Linked DNA regions of Saccharomyces cerevisiae S288C. The protein of the gene in region 1 interacts with the protein of each later gene in a biochemical or structural test. Each region holds a gene or a part of one and is shown in the gene's direction. Other genes may lie near its edges.

Region 1 (4,915 bases):
GAACGATCACTTGATGCCAAATTTTAACCTTCATGATCAGTACTGTAATAGTACCAATCACGACTCTCACAATCACAATAATACTGTACCAGATAGCTTTTCTCAGCTGATGTCTCACTTATCGGAGATTGATTGCGATTTGACCTGTGACACCCCATGCACGGCTAGCACGAGCGCGACTAGTGGTCACAAGTTTGTTCAAGATCATCAATCATCAAATAATGATGACGTTTTCCATAAATACTGCAAATTTTGTGAGGAGAGCACTGATAATCAACCTTGTTCTAAGCATATGCATTTAGAGTCAAAGCCACCTCAACTACCACCCAAATGTTCATCTTTACGAAAACCTACAAACACTTTGCAAGGTACAAATCATGCTTATCACGAACATATCTTAAATACTGATATGGATTTGAAGATTTTGGAAGATTTATGCAATATTTCTTCTTTGTATGAAGTACCGTTTGGAAAACACATTAACCACCACGACCACAATAATGCCGGTAACGGCTGCGATGGTTCGAGCACAGGAAATAATGAAAACGGTAACCAAACAATGAATCTTCTATTATCAAGCATTAATAGATGCAACCCTAAAAATAATCTTAATGGAAGCAATAACAATACGGCTGGAGCAACTTCAACTGATCATCAACACCATCACCATAGAATACAGTTTCATTCTCACAAACCAAATAGAAACAATATTGTGAACAATTCAGGGATTAGCGCGGCGAACACAACAGCCGATCTAACTAACAACGATTTAAATGACTTAATTTCAAGAGAGTATAGTTATGAAAGATTTAGAAATCAAAGTGAGCCCCCTTCGCTACCCAAAGTCACTCATCAGAATCAGAAAAATCGTAGATCTTGGCCTACAAAAGATCTAGAATCTACTGATTTCAGCTCTTTGGAAGACTCATTACCTTCTAGCATCTCTCCTCCTATACAGACAACAAGCACTATAAATTTCAACTGGTGTTTTAAAGAAGAGAAAAACAATGACTTAAAATGCAAATGGAAAGAATGTCCTGAGTCTTGTAGCTCACTATTTGACCTACAAAGACATCTTTTGAAGGATCATGTCTCTCAAGATTTCAAACACCCTATGGAACCATTAGCTTGTAATTGGGAGGACTGTGATTTCCTTGGAGATGATACATGTTCCATAGTGAACCATATTAATTGTCAACATGGTATCAATTTTGATATTCAATTTGCCAACCCAGACTCATTTTTGCCTGGTAGTATATCAAAGGAAAAACATCACTTACTACATTGCCCCAACCCACAAACACACGAAGTTTCTAAAGCAGATGGAGCACCTGATATGACGTCTGCAAATGATGTTTCCAATATACCGCCAATCAAGCAGCCGGAACAGGTGATTTGCCAATGGGATGGTTGCAATAAGTCATTTTCCAGTGCTCAGGAATTAAACGACCATTTAGAAGCAGTACATTTAACCCGGGGTAAGTCTGAATACCAATGCTTGTGGCATGACTGCCATCGTACGTTCCCCCAAAGACAAAAATTAATCCGTCATTTAAAAGTGCATTCGAAATACAAACCTTATAAGTGCAAGACATGTAAAAGGTGTTTTTCAAGCGAAGAAACTTTAGTTCAGCATACCAGGACACACTCTGGCGAAAAACCTTACAAATGTCACATTTGTAATAAAAAATTCGCGATTTCAAGTTCTTTGAAGATTCATATAAGAACCCATACTGGTGAAAAACCTTTACAATGCAAGATTTGTGGTAAGAGATTCAACGAATCGTCAAATTTGAGCAAACATATTAAGACCCATCAGAAAAAATACAAGTGCTCTGACTGTTCCAAAAGCTTTGACGATTTGGGAAAATTGAACTCACAGAAAGTGAAATGCGCATTGGAAAGAAAACCATATTTATAAATGTGATCATCATGGTCCAACGTAAGAAGGGCGGTTTTCAGGATCACATAAATGCATAATTAGAAACATTTCATATTTTACCTAGACTACTTTTTATTTATAATTTTTCGCAAACTCTTTTTTGTAAGCTTTTACAGTACACTTTTTTTACGTAATAACGTATTTCAAGCTTTATTTTTTGTATACGTTTCAGAAAAGGGGGTGGGGGGGAAGGACATTGTATATATAGATCCTATGAGTGACAACTAGGTAACCGAAGAAACACTATTAGATATATAGTTTGAGGGATAGCATAAGTAGAACTTAGAAATGAGTTTAGTACCATATGAAGAAGGTTCGCTGATTTTAGATGATCCTAATTCTAAATCAGTGGTGGTTGTTAATCCAACCTCAGGAACTTTATCATTTTTCCAACAGGACAACAGTAATAATGACTCTGAACTAAATGAAGACCAGACTGCATCTTTATCAGCACTGGACTTTCCTTCAGGGATTCATCAATACAAAAGCCCTATTGCTTCCTATGTGTGCCCGCAATGTGGTACGGAAATTAACCCTGATATTATAAACAGAAGACAACTTCATCGTCGAGCCTCTGCTGGAGTAGAATCAGAAAGCAGTAGGCTCAGTATTCCAGAGAACACTGTGCCACTTGGATTTGAATTTGCCAATTCAAGCTTTTCAAGAAGATATTTTCAGTCATTGGAAAGAAATCATCGGCACTACGCCCTACAAAACGATAGTAACAATAAGCAGGGACAGTTCAGCAAAAACAAATACTTTATTCCAGATGATTTGTTTATCCCCGGATACTTTCGTAAATTTTTCAAAATATTGTCTTTGCTGGGAAATGGTGCAAGAGGTTCTGTTTACAAAGTTGTACACACAATTGGTAATACTGAATTAGGTGTTTTTGCACTAAAAAAAATACCTATTGGAAATGATATGGAATGGTTTAATAAGTGCATACGGGAAGTGAAAGCGTTGAGTTCGCTAACTCACAAAAGTGCCAATTTGATTACGTATAATCATGTGTGGCTCGAAATGGATTCTTCGGTTGGATTTGTCAGATCCATTGATGGGAGCCAATCGGATTCACAAGAAGAAGTTCCTTGTATTTTCATTTTACAACAGTATTGCAGTGGCGGCAATTTAGAAGACTGTATTCTAAGAAAAGTGTTCAATAGGTTCTCAGATACCGAATCACCTGAAGAGAGGAAAAAAAAATTTAGAACTCGCAAGAAAAATCACGGTAAATCAGGAGAAGTTGGCCTATCTACGGAACAGCTCGTATCCATTATAAGGGATATTGCAAGAGGTTTACACGAACTGCACAGTATTGGCCTAATACATAGGGACTTGAAACCATCCAACTGTTTATTATTGACTCCATTTAAAAGTGACAATGAGAATGACAACGTATACGACAGGGAACACAATTCAGATGAGTTTTTCCCATCAATTGTTATTGGCGATTTGGGGGAAAGTCAGTTGGAAGGAGAGTCCAGATTGGGTACTGGTTGCACAGGAACATTAGAGTTTACAGCACCAGACCTTATTATCCAGGGGAGACCAGTTTCTTCTTCTACGTTGCCTTCAAGATCGAGTCACACATACAATGAATACACCTTTGCTTCCGATATGTATTCTCTAGGAATGATTTGCTATTTTATTGTCTTCGGTGAATTGCCCTTTGAACCACAGTTGGATATAGTTGATTTGAAGGTACGCATCAAAAATTTTAGGTTCGACACTGAAGGTATGATTGAAAAGCATCAAGCGATGAAATTGAAACCAATAGACCGTAGAATATTTCACCTAATGGACGCTCTTTTACAACCAAATAATGATGCTAGACCCACAGCGAAGACAGTGGAGGAGACGTTAGATGAAATGCTAATAAATTCCAAACCCGGCAAAAAATTCTGGAAAGAAAATGTGGATAGCACTTTGAACTTCAGTACAATCTCGGAAGTGAATGAGAATACCAACAGTTTTACTGATGATTATATTGACGGAGACAACGTTACTTTATCATTACCAGCACCAGAGGAAAATTTGAGCACCGTATCAACCCAAAACCTCCAAAAGTATTCTGCTTTAAATAGAACAATCCAGGTTTGTTACAAACTAGTTTCTATGATATTAACGATAATCATATTTAAGTGTACCAAAACGGGGTCGTGGCTCTCTTATATGTCACTGATATTGTTGGGAATGGTTTTTAAATCACCAGCTGATGAAAGAGGTAAGCATGCAAGAGCGTTGGTTTTACTGGCCTTCATCGCCGCATGCAAAAAATACATATACTAACAATAAGTACACATTGCAAACTAAATAGCACGTAATTTATTTTTACTTTACAAATTTATAGAAAATATTCTCGCTTATCACCAATGTTCACGAATCATCTTCACCTCTTCTAAGGGCCGGTGACAAAGGTGCATAATGTTAGAAAAATTGACCGATGAGTAAATTTATAGAGGGAATAACCAAATGAAAAGATCTAGGTGACAGAAACGCCAATTGACCTCTGTAGAAATAAAGTTCTTTCATTATGACAGCAGAAGATATACTCCTTCGAGAAAGAACATCTACTACGACACAACGCCCTGTCAATAGCGAACAATACCTTAATGTGCAATTAGCCACAGCCCCAGTAAAAAATTTTCAGACTACAAGCGAGATTAGCCGGCAAACTCTTGTAGACACATCAAATGATGACGTTTATTCCATCAAGAATTTGAAGGGCTCGAGGAACCCCATTAGCCCTAGTGTTTCTAACGTTGGCTTCCAATCCATATTCCATACAGTAGATCATCCTCGATCGAAGGTCAGTGTGGCCTCAAATCATTCCTTGAGGAGCAATGACAATGCCTCAGCTGCAACATCTAAATCTGGTTCTTCTCAGATAGGGGAATCTCATAGCGTTGACACGGTGGAGTGCTCGAACAATCTATCTAAAAAGTTATCTTCTGATGCAATATCCATTAC
Region 2 (3,383 bases), on another chromosome or scaffold:
CTTGCATTTTTTCCGCTGACTTGGGAGTAGAGTACAGCTGCGCGGAGTCGCGTATTACAAATCTTGTACTTTGCATTCTGTGCATACGTGAGGAAAAAGCAGCACCTGTTGTGAAAAAAGATAAATTTCTTTTTTTCATTTTTCTATCCTCAAAGGAAAATCTTTTCTGCGAAATTTCTAGCCGCTCTTCAGTTTCCGAAGTAAAGTCGCTGAGGGCGAAAAACAACTTTATTTGCCCACACGCTGTTATAGGCTTCCAGGGAGCAAAAGCGCAATTGGGAATAAGGTTTCCTCAATTGAATGGTTTGCTTCGCCTACAGCATTAACCAGAAGGTAATTTGATCTCTTGTATGTCCGCTAACAGATCTTGTCCATTAATTGTTTATTTTCTTCAGGTAGGCTGAGCCCACTTTGTAGTAGCTCCCTACCATTACTTTTGGCCTTGTAGTTATTGGCTTTGATTTTTTCTTTCTATGACAATCCCGTTGAGCAACCTTGCGAAGGGCTCTTTTTGAAAAAAAGGCGTGGGCAAGATCTCTGTATCCCTTTCTCGGTTTTTTCTTCCCATTCAACAGTAATTGAGTGTCGCTATTTTGACTTACCTCAGTGCCTATTATTAGCATAAGAAATGACCCACATAGTCTGAACTCTAAATAAACCCGAATTAGGAATCAAGTACATTTCATATCCGCTAGGTTTGACAATCCTCCGTAGATAACCTTAATGATACAATGGAAAGGTTATTTTTTATTATTGTCATAGAAGTTGTTACGTGAGCAATATAACACGACGTGAATAGTACGCATACATCTTGTTGTATCGGAAACTTAAAATGCTCATAGATTTTTTGCAGCTTATATTGGTTCTTGTCTCCGTAGGAAACAACGTAATGTAGCCGATAATTTTTTTTTTTTTCGCTCGTAGGCTCTTCAGTAGATACTACTACATAATCACTGTTGTACGCACCTACTATTCTTCCAGGTAACAGTACTACAAAGGGTCTGAGACTGTGCAGTAAACCGATACGCTACAAAATTTCCTTTTCAGCTTTTGCCTGTGATGCATAGCCGCAATGTCAGAGCAAATGGAAATGAAAAGGAGGGCCTTCAAGATTGAAAAAAAGCCCGATTGGAAAATCTTCCGACACGAGGTGCAGTCAAGTACTCATAAACGATACATGTGAAAATCAATCCATATACATCGCGTACGCTCCGTACCTAAAAGTATATCTGGGTTTTGCAGCAATCTTGAGAACAATCAGGTGAGAGATGCCGTTTCTCGGGGTTAAAGAATAAAATGACGGCGATCCCTCTTCTCAGGATCGGGACTATCTCATATAGGAAATATCCTTACGGGAGCATTCCACCTTGAGCTACGAGTGATTGCCATTTACGGTGGGAAATAAGGTTTTCAGTGGATACTGGTTTTGAGGGCAGATCAAGACGATCTGTTTTTTAACTTCCGCTTTAATTCTGCGTATTATTCTGTACAAGAAACTCAAACAACAACAAAAAACAAGATAAAGAATGATGCATCAGGTTCCCGACTTATGTCCCTAAAGTTTCATAAGTAAGAAACCCGCGCGAGAACGTCATTTGAACTACCTTACAGATCTGCAGGTGGCCCGGAAAGGGCAGTCGTGTGCCTTCATCATTATTGTTGTATTCTCTGTGCCTTCTTTTTTTCCTTACTTACTATTTTGCTATATATGTGACTACTACATGTTGATGTTTCAAAATACCTCTTTTATATGCCTGTCAGGGTTTGACAAGTTGAACGAAAGATACAATTGTTAGCTTTTTATTGTTCTATGGCTTCACAATAATTCCTCAAACATTAGTATACTTTTAGTTTTGAGCTTCTTAGTTATAACACAAGTTCATCACCTACCTTCGAAAAATAGCAGTAAACGCCACTAAAGTAAATTACATGAATTTTTCCCTTTCAAAGCAAAGTTCAGAAAAACAATCATCATATACAGACAAGTCAAGATCTCCTAATATAGGAATGTGTACAGTCAATTATAAATCGAACCTCCCCCTTCAAGTGTCCGCAGTTGATCAGCTGAGCACTGGTAAGGGGACTCAATTTTATGGCCACAATAGCTACAAAAATGAACGGGAATGTTATAATAGTACGAAAATAAACTTACCACCAATTTCATCCCTTTTGCCTAATTTTGAAAATAATACACCACCTAACGTAGATTCAAGGGTTCAATTCCCTCCACAGCAAGTTTATCAAAGCATGAATGTTGTACCCATTGTTAATGAGATCTACACCCCAATTTCCATGAACGCAACATCTGATCAATATCCTATCTACTATACGGAAAGTCAGCAACCAATACCACATAGCCAGTCTCCTCATTTGACCTCCTCTGCTCCCTTGATGATGCCAGTCATGGTCCCAACAGTATATAAACCATTGACACCATACGACAAAGAACCAATAACAATTGCCTCCGAACCTAACTTCACTGCAATATCAATGGCGAGTCACCCAAACGCTGCCTTAGAGCTATGCCACGATAGGCCAAAATCAGTCCCACCTGGGTATGGCGTACTTCCAACCATGCAGGAAGCCAGTAACGGCAGAACAAAAAGCGAACCTGGTGCCGTGTTGAACGGTTCAGCAACATTTTCTGATTGGAAAACTGACACCCGAATATCATCCACAAAGCTGAGAAAGCAGTGCCCAGTATGTGGAAAAATTTGTTCGAGGCCCTCAACGCTGAAGACACATTACTTAATTCATACGGGAGATACTCCTTTCAAATGTACTTGGGAGGGTTGCACAAAATCCTTCAATGTGAAAAGCAATATGCTGAGACATTTGAAAAGCCATGAAAGGAAAAGAAACAAAGTCTTAAACACTACATAGAAACAATAGGAACGGAAAGCTTTATTGCAATGGAATTTTTAGAACTCATATTCAAAGGTAAGGCAAAACTATGTATAGACTCTAATAGAATGTTTTACGGACTTTAGAAGCAAGGGAATAAAACTAATTAAGCGCAAGTCACCTTCTTTGTTAGTGTTCTTCCCAGTTTTATATAACGGGAGTGCGTCTTCAAGTTTACTTGGACGCACAAAGACGTTTTTATGTTTATGTATTATTTCGTAAATATATGAGAGGCAAAGAAGATGGATGATGATATAATATGCAAGGGAAAATGCGTAGTTGAGGTATTGGGAAAGTTCCATGTGATCACTTGATGCAAGCCGTGCATTATTTATCAGCAGATCTATTTTCACTTTTCAATTTTTTTCAGGTTGACCCTTCAATATTTTTTTACCTCTTTTTCTAGATATATTTGCAGGGTACTCTCGATGTCCGCAGTTCGTCAAAATGATTATGATTGCCAGTAAGGCCAAGTGAAT
Region 3 (4,455 bases), on another chromosome or scaffold:
ATGCCCACAGGGTAACCCATATTTATATCAAATGGAAGAAGCGTCCATTAAGAAAAAAGCAAAAAAAGCTGTACCTGCTATTATGGAGAGGAGTAAGCGCTTTTCTCATTAACGTAAAAAGAGAGGTAAGAAAAAAAAGGAAGGGGACCTAGGCACCTCATAGTGAGAAGATTGAAAACGGCGTATCAAACAAATGGTTAAAATGAGAAGAATAACACCTACACGCCTCCTATTCACATGCAGATATATTTCAAACAATGCTTCTCCACCAGTGCAGCCCTTGAATGTGCTTTTCTTTGGTAGCGACACTTTCAGTAATTTCTCATTGCAAGCACTCAATGAGTTGCGTCAAAATAATGGAAGCTGTGGTATAGTGGACAATATTCAAGTAGTAACTAGGTCGCCGAAGTGGTGCGGTAGACAGAAGTCTATTTTGAAATACCCGCCGATCTTCGATATGGCAGAGAAGCTTCAATTGCCACGCCCAATTACATGCGACACCAAGCAGGAAATGTTGGCGCTAAGCAAACTGACACCCAGTCGCCAAGGAAATCCGGAGAACGACGGCTCCGGTGCTCCGTTCAACGCGATCATTGCGGTTTCTTTTGGGAAGCTCATTCCGGGTGACTTGATCCGCGCGGTGCCATTGGCGCTAAACGTCCATCCTTCGCTACTTCCCAGACATAAAGGCAGTGCACCTATCCAGCGAGCTCTGCTCGAGGGTGACACTTACACCGGTGTAACTATACAGACACTGCATCCGGATCGGTTTGACCATGGTGCAATTGTAGCGCAGACGGAGCCACTGGCGATCGCAACAATGCTGTCAAAAGGGAGAGTCAATGATTCGACGGCAGATTTTAATTCTGAGGGCCTGCCTCGGAGGACTGCCATACTGATGGACCAGTTGGGCGCCCTTGGCGCCCAACTTTTGGGCCAAACGCTTCGTGAGAGGTTATATCTACCACAGAACCGTGTGCAAGCGCCAACAGCTTACAAACCCAGTTACGCCCACCGTATAACAACAGAAGATAAACGCATTCATTGGGCGCGCGATTCTGCCGCCGAACTACTTAACAAACTCGAAACGCTCGGTCCTCTGCACGCGTTCAAAGAAGCGACAGCGGCAAGAAAGGACGCTCAAAATTCAGTATTAAAACGAATATTGTTTCATGAGTGTAAAGTGATGAGAGACGCACGTCTAGATAATGGCAGTAAACCGGGCATGTTCAAATATGATGATATTAAAGACTGTATTTTGGTCACCTGTCGCGGCAACTTACTACTATGTGTGAGCCGCCTCCAGTTCGAAGGTTTCGCCGTAGAACGTGCTGGCCAGTTCATGGCGCGCCTGCGGAAAAGATGCGGCGCCCTGAGTGAAAAGTTAGTTTTCCTGTAACCCGGCTCTACATTCCTCTTTTAGTATTCTTCTTCTCCCTTCTTTCAATCCCTCATCCATCGGTCTCTCAACAACTATGGCTGCCAAGCCCTACGCGCTATGAAGAAAAAGAAAAGTAGGCCCGCCTTCTTTCCCAGTTGCAGTTTATTTATGATTCGGAAAGATTGATGTTAGTAATGGCTTGTAGTTCATAACAGAGTGAATTAAGTGTAGGAAGCCCGGAATTAAATATATAGTAAAAAGAGCACAGGGGCGTTTACATCGGGGTAAAAAAAAATGCCTGCACCAAAACTCACGGAGAAATTTGCCTCTTCCAAGAGCACACAGAAAACTACGAATTACAGTTCCATCGAGGCCAAAAGCGTCAAGACGTCGGCTGATCAGGCATACATCTACCAAGAGCCTAGCGCTACCAAGAAGATACTTTACTCCATCGCCACATGGCTGTTGTACAACATCTTCCACTGCTTCTTTAGAGAAATCAGAGGCCGGGGCAGTTTCAAGGTACCGCAACAGGGACCGGTGATCTTTGTTGCGGCTCCGCATGCTAACCAGTTCGTCGACCCTGTAATCCTTATGGGCGAGGTGAAGAAATCTGTCAACAGACGTGTGTCCTTCTTGATTGCGGAGAGCTCATTAAAGCAACCCCCCATAGGGTTTTTGGCTAGTTTCTTCATGGCCATAGGCGTGGTAAGGCCGCAGGATAATTTGAAACCGGCAGAAGGTACTATCCGCGTAGATCCAACAGACTACAAGAGAGTTATCGGCCACGACACGCATTTCTTGACTGATTGTATGCCAAAGGGTCTCATCGGGTTACCCAAATCAATGGGATTTGGAGAAATCCAGTCCATAGAAAGTGACACGAGTTTGACCCTAAGAAAAGAGTTCAAAATGGCCAAACCAGAGATTAAAACTGCTTTACTCACCGGCACTACTTATAAATATGCCGCTAAAGTCGACCAATCTTGCGTTTACCATAGAGTTTTTGAGCATTTGGCCCATAACAACTGCATTGGGATCTTTCCTGAAGGTGGGTCCCACGACAGAACAAACTTGTTGCCCCTGAAAGCAGGTGTGGCGATTATGGCTCTTGGTTGCATGGATAAGCATCCTGACGTCAATGTTAAGATTGTTCCCTGCGGTATGAATTATTTCCATCCACATAAGTTCAGGTCGAGAGCGGTTGTTGAATTCGGTGACCCCATTGAAATACCGAAGGAACTAGTCGCCAAGTACCACAACCCGGAAACGAACAGAGATGCAGTGAAAGAATTATTAGATACCATATCGAAGGGTTTACAATCCGTTACCGTTACATGTTCTGATTATGAAACTTTGATGGTGGTTCAAACGATAAGAAGACTATATATGACACAATTTAGCACCAAGTTACCGTTGCCCTTGATTGTGGAAATGAACAGAAGAATGGTCAAAGGTTACGAATTCTATAGAAACGATCCTAAAATAGCGGACTTGACCAAAGATATAATGGCATATAATGCCGCCTTGAGACACTATAATCTTCCTGATCACCTTGTGGAGGAGGCAAAGGTAAATTTCGCAAAAAACCTCGGACTTGTTTTTTTTAGATCCATCGGGCTCTGCATCCTCTTTTCGTTAGCCATGCCAGGTATCATTATGTTCTCACCTGTCTTCATATTAGCCAAGAGAATTTCTCAAGAAAAGGCCCGTACCGCTTTGTCCAAGTCTACAGTTAAAATAAAGGCTAACGATGTCATTGCCACGTGGAAAATCTTGATTGGGATGGGATTTGCGCCCTTGCTTTACATCTTTTGGTCCGTTTTAATCACTTATTACCTCAGACATAAACCATGGAATAAAATATATGTTTTTTCCGGGTCTTACATCTCGTGTGTTATAGTCACGTATTCCGCCTTAATCGTGGGTGATATTGGTATGGATGGTTTCAAATCTTTGAGACCACTGGTTTTATCTCTTACATCTCCAAAGGGCTTGCAAAAGCTACAAAAGGATCGTAGAAATCTGGCAGAAAGAATAATCGAAGTTGTAAATAACTTTGGAAGCGAATTATTCCCCGATTTCGATAGTGCCGCCCTACGTGAAGAATTCGACGTCATCGATGAAGAGGAAGAAGATCGAAAAACCTCAGAATTGAATCGCAGGAAAATGCTAAGAAAACAGAAAATAAAAAGACAAGAAAAAGATTCGTCATCACCTATCATCAGCCAACGTGACAACCACGATGCCTATGAACACCATAACCAAGATTCCGATGGCGTCTCATTGGTCAATAGTGACAATTCCCTCTCTAACATTCCATTATTCTCTTCTACTTTTCATCGTAAGTCAGAGTCTTCCTTAGCTTCGACATCCGTTGCACCTTCTTCTTCCTCCGAATTTGAGGTAGAAAACGAAATCTTGGAGGAAAAAAATGGATTAGCAAGTAAAATCGCACAGGCCGTCTTAAACAAGAGAATTGGTGAAAATACTGCCAGGGAAGAGGAAGAGGAAGAAGAAGAGGAAGAAGAAGAAGAGGAAGAAGAAGAAGAAGGGAAAGAAGGAGATGCGTAGATGCCATTTACTGACGGTGAAGATACTAGAAACTAAATCTTTCGCCGTTCTATTTATGTAATAAACCCATTATTGCTCATTGGGAGTTGTAAATATTAATGCTCAATGTTTATGTATATCCCTCGCACAGGGGCTTTTTATTTCTTGAGGGGGGGACTAATTGTATAATTGTATGTTTTATAAAAAAGTATATTGCTCTTTTACGACTTTTGGTCTGGTCCCCTATGCTACTAATAACATTTTATTCTCTTCAAACTTCAACGTTCAACCTGCTTTGCCGAGACGGCGATTAGTATCCTACCCAACTGAACCTTTTCTTTTTGTTTCGCTTTTTGTTATACAATGCAATTTCGTCTCGCTGTAGTCTTTGGGTATGTCCTGTCAAATTCGTCACTACATTTTCAAAAGTTGTCTTATCCTTTAGGAGGTCTCGCTGTTGTTTCTTCAATGATCTTGATTTACTAACCAAAAAGTCAATGGATTGACACAATGTATCGTGG

The links. Proteins that work in one complex are often made in the same cells at the same time.
Region 2: of the proteins of IKS1 (region 1) and CMR3, one has a biochemical effect on the other in vitro, tested with the Saccharomyces cerevisiae proteins (one large-scale study listed by BioGRID).
Region 3: of the proteins of IKS1 (region 1) and SCT1, one has a biochemical effect on the other in vitro, tested with the Saccharomyces cerevisiae proteins (one large-scale study listed by BioGRID).

The regions. Positions count from the first base shown.
Region 1 is NC_001142.9:327,437-332,351, reverse strand, and holds IKS1 (protein kinase IKS1), read left to right. Parts: upstream 1-2,230; coding exon 2,231-4,234; downstream 4,235-4,915. Other genes in the region: ZAP1 (Zap1p), read left to right, coding at 1-1,921; BIT61 (Bit61p), read left to right, coding at 4,479-4,915.
Region 2 is NC_001148.4:584,132-587,514, reverse strand, and holds CMR3 (Cmr3p), read left to right. Parts: upstream 1-1,929; coding exon 1,930-2,883; downstream 2,884-3,383. Other genes in the region: YPR014C (uncharacterized protein), read left to right, coding at 1-326. UniProt on the Saccharomyces cerevisiae protein: Probable transcription factor involved in the regulation of the transcription of genes involved in cell rescue and defense, as well as cell cycle and DNA processing.
Region 3 is NC_001134.8:201,863-206,317, forward strand, and holds SCT1 (bifunctional glycerol-3-phosphate/glycerone-phosphate O-acyltransferase SCT1), read left to right. Parts: upstream 1-1,675; coding exon 1,676-3,955; downstream 3,956-4,455. Other genes in the region: FMT1 (methionyl-tRNA formyltransferase), read left to right, coding at 194-1,399; LAA2 (Laa2p), read right to left, coding at 4,245-4,455. UniProt on the Saccharomyces cerevisiae protein: Dual substrate-specific glycerol-3-phosphate/dihydroxyacetone phosphate sn-1 acyltransferase, catalyzing the first and committed reaction in the de novo synthesis of glycerophospholipids and triacylglycerols (TAGs).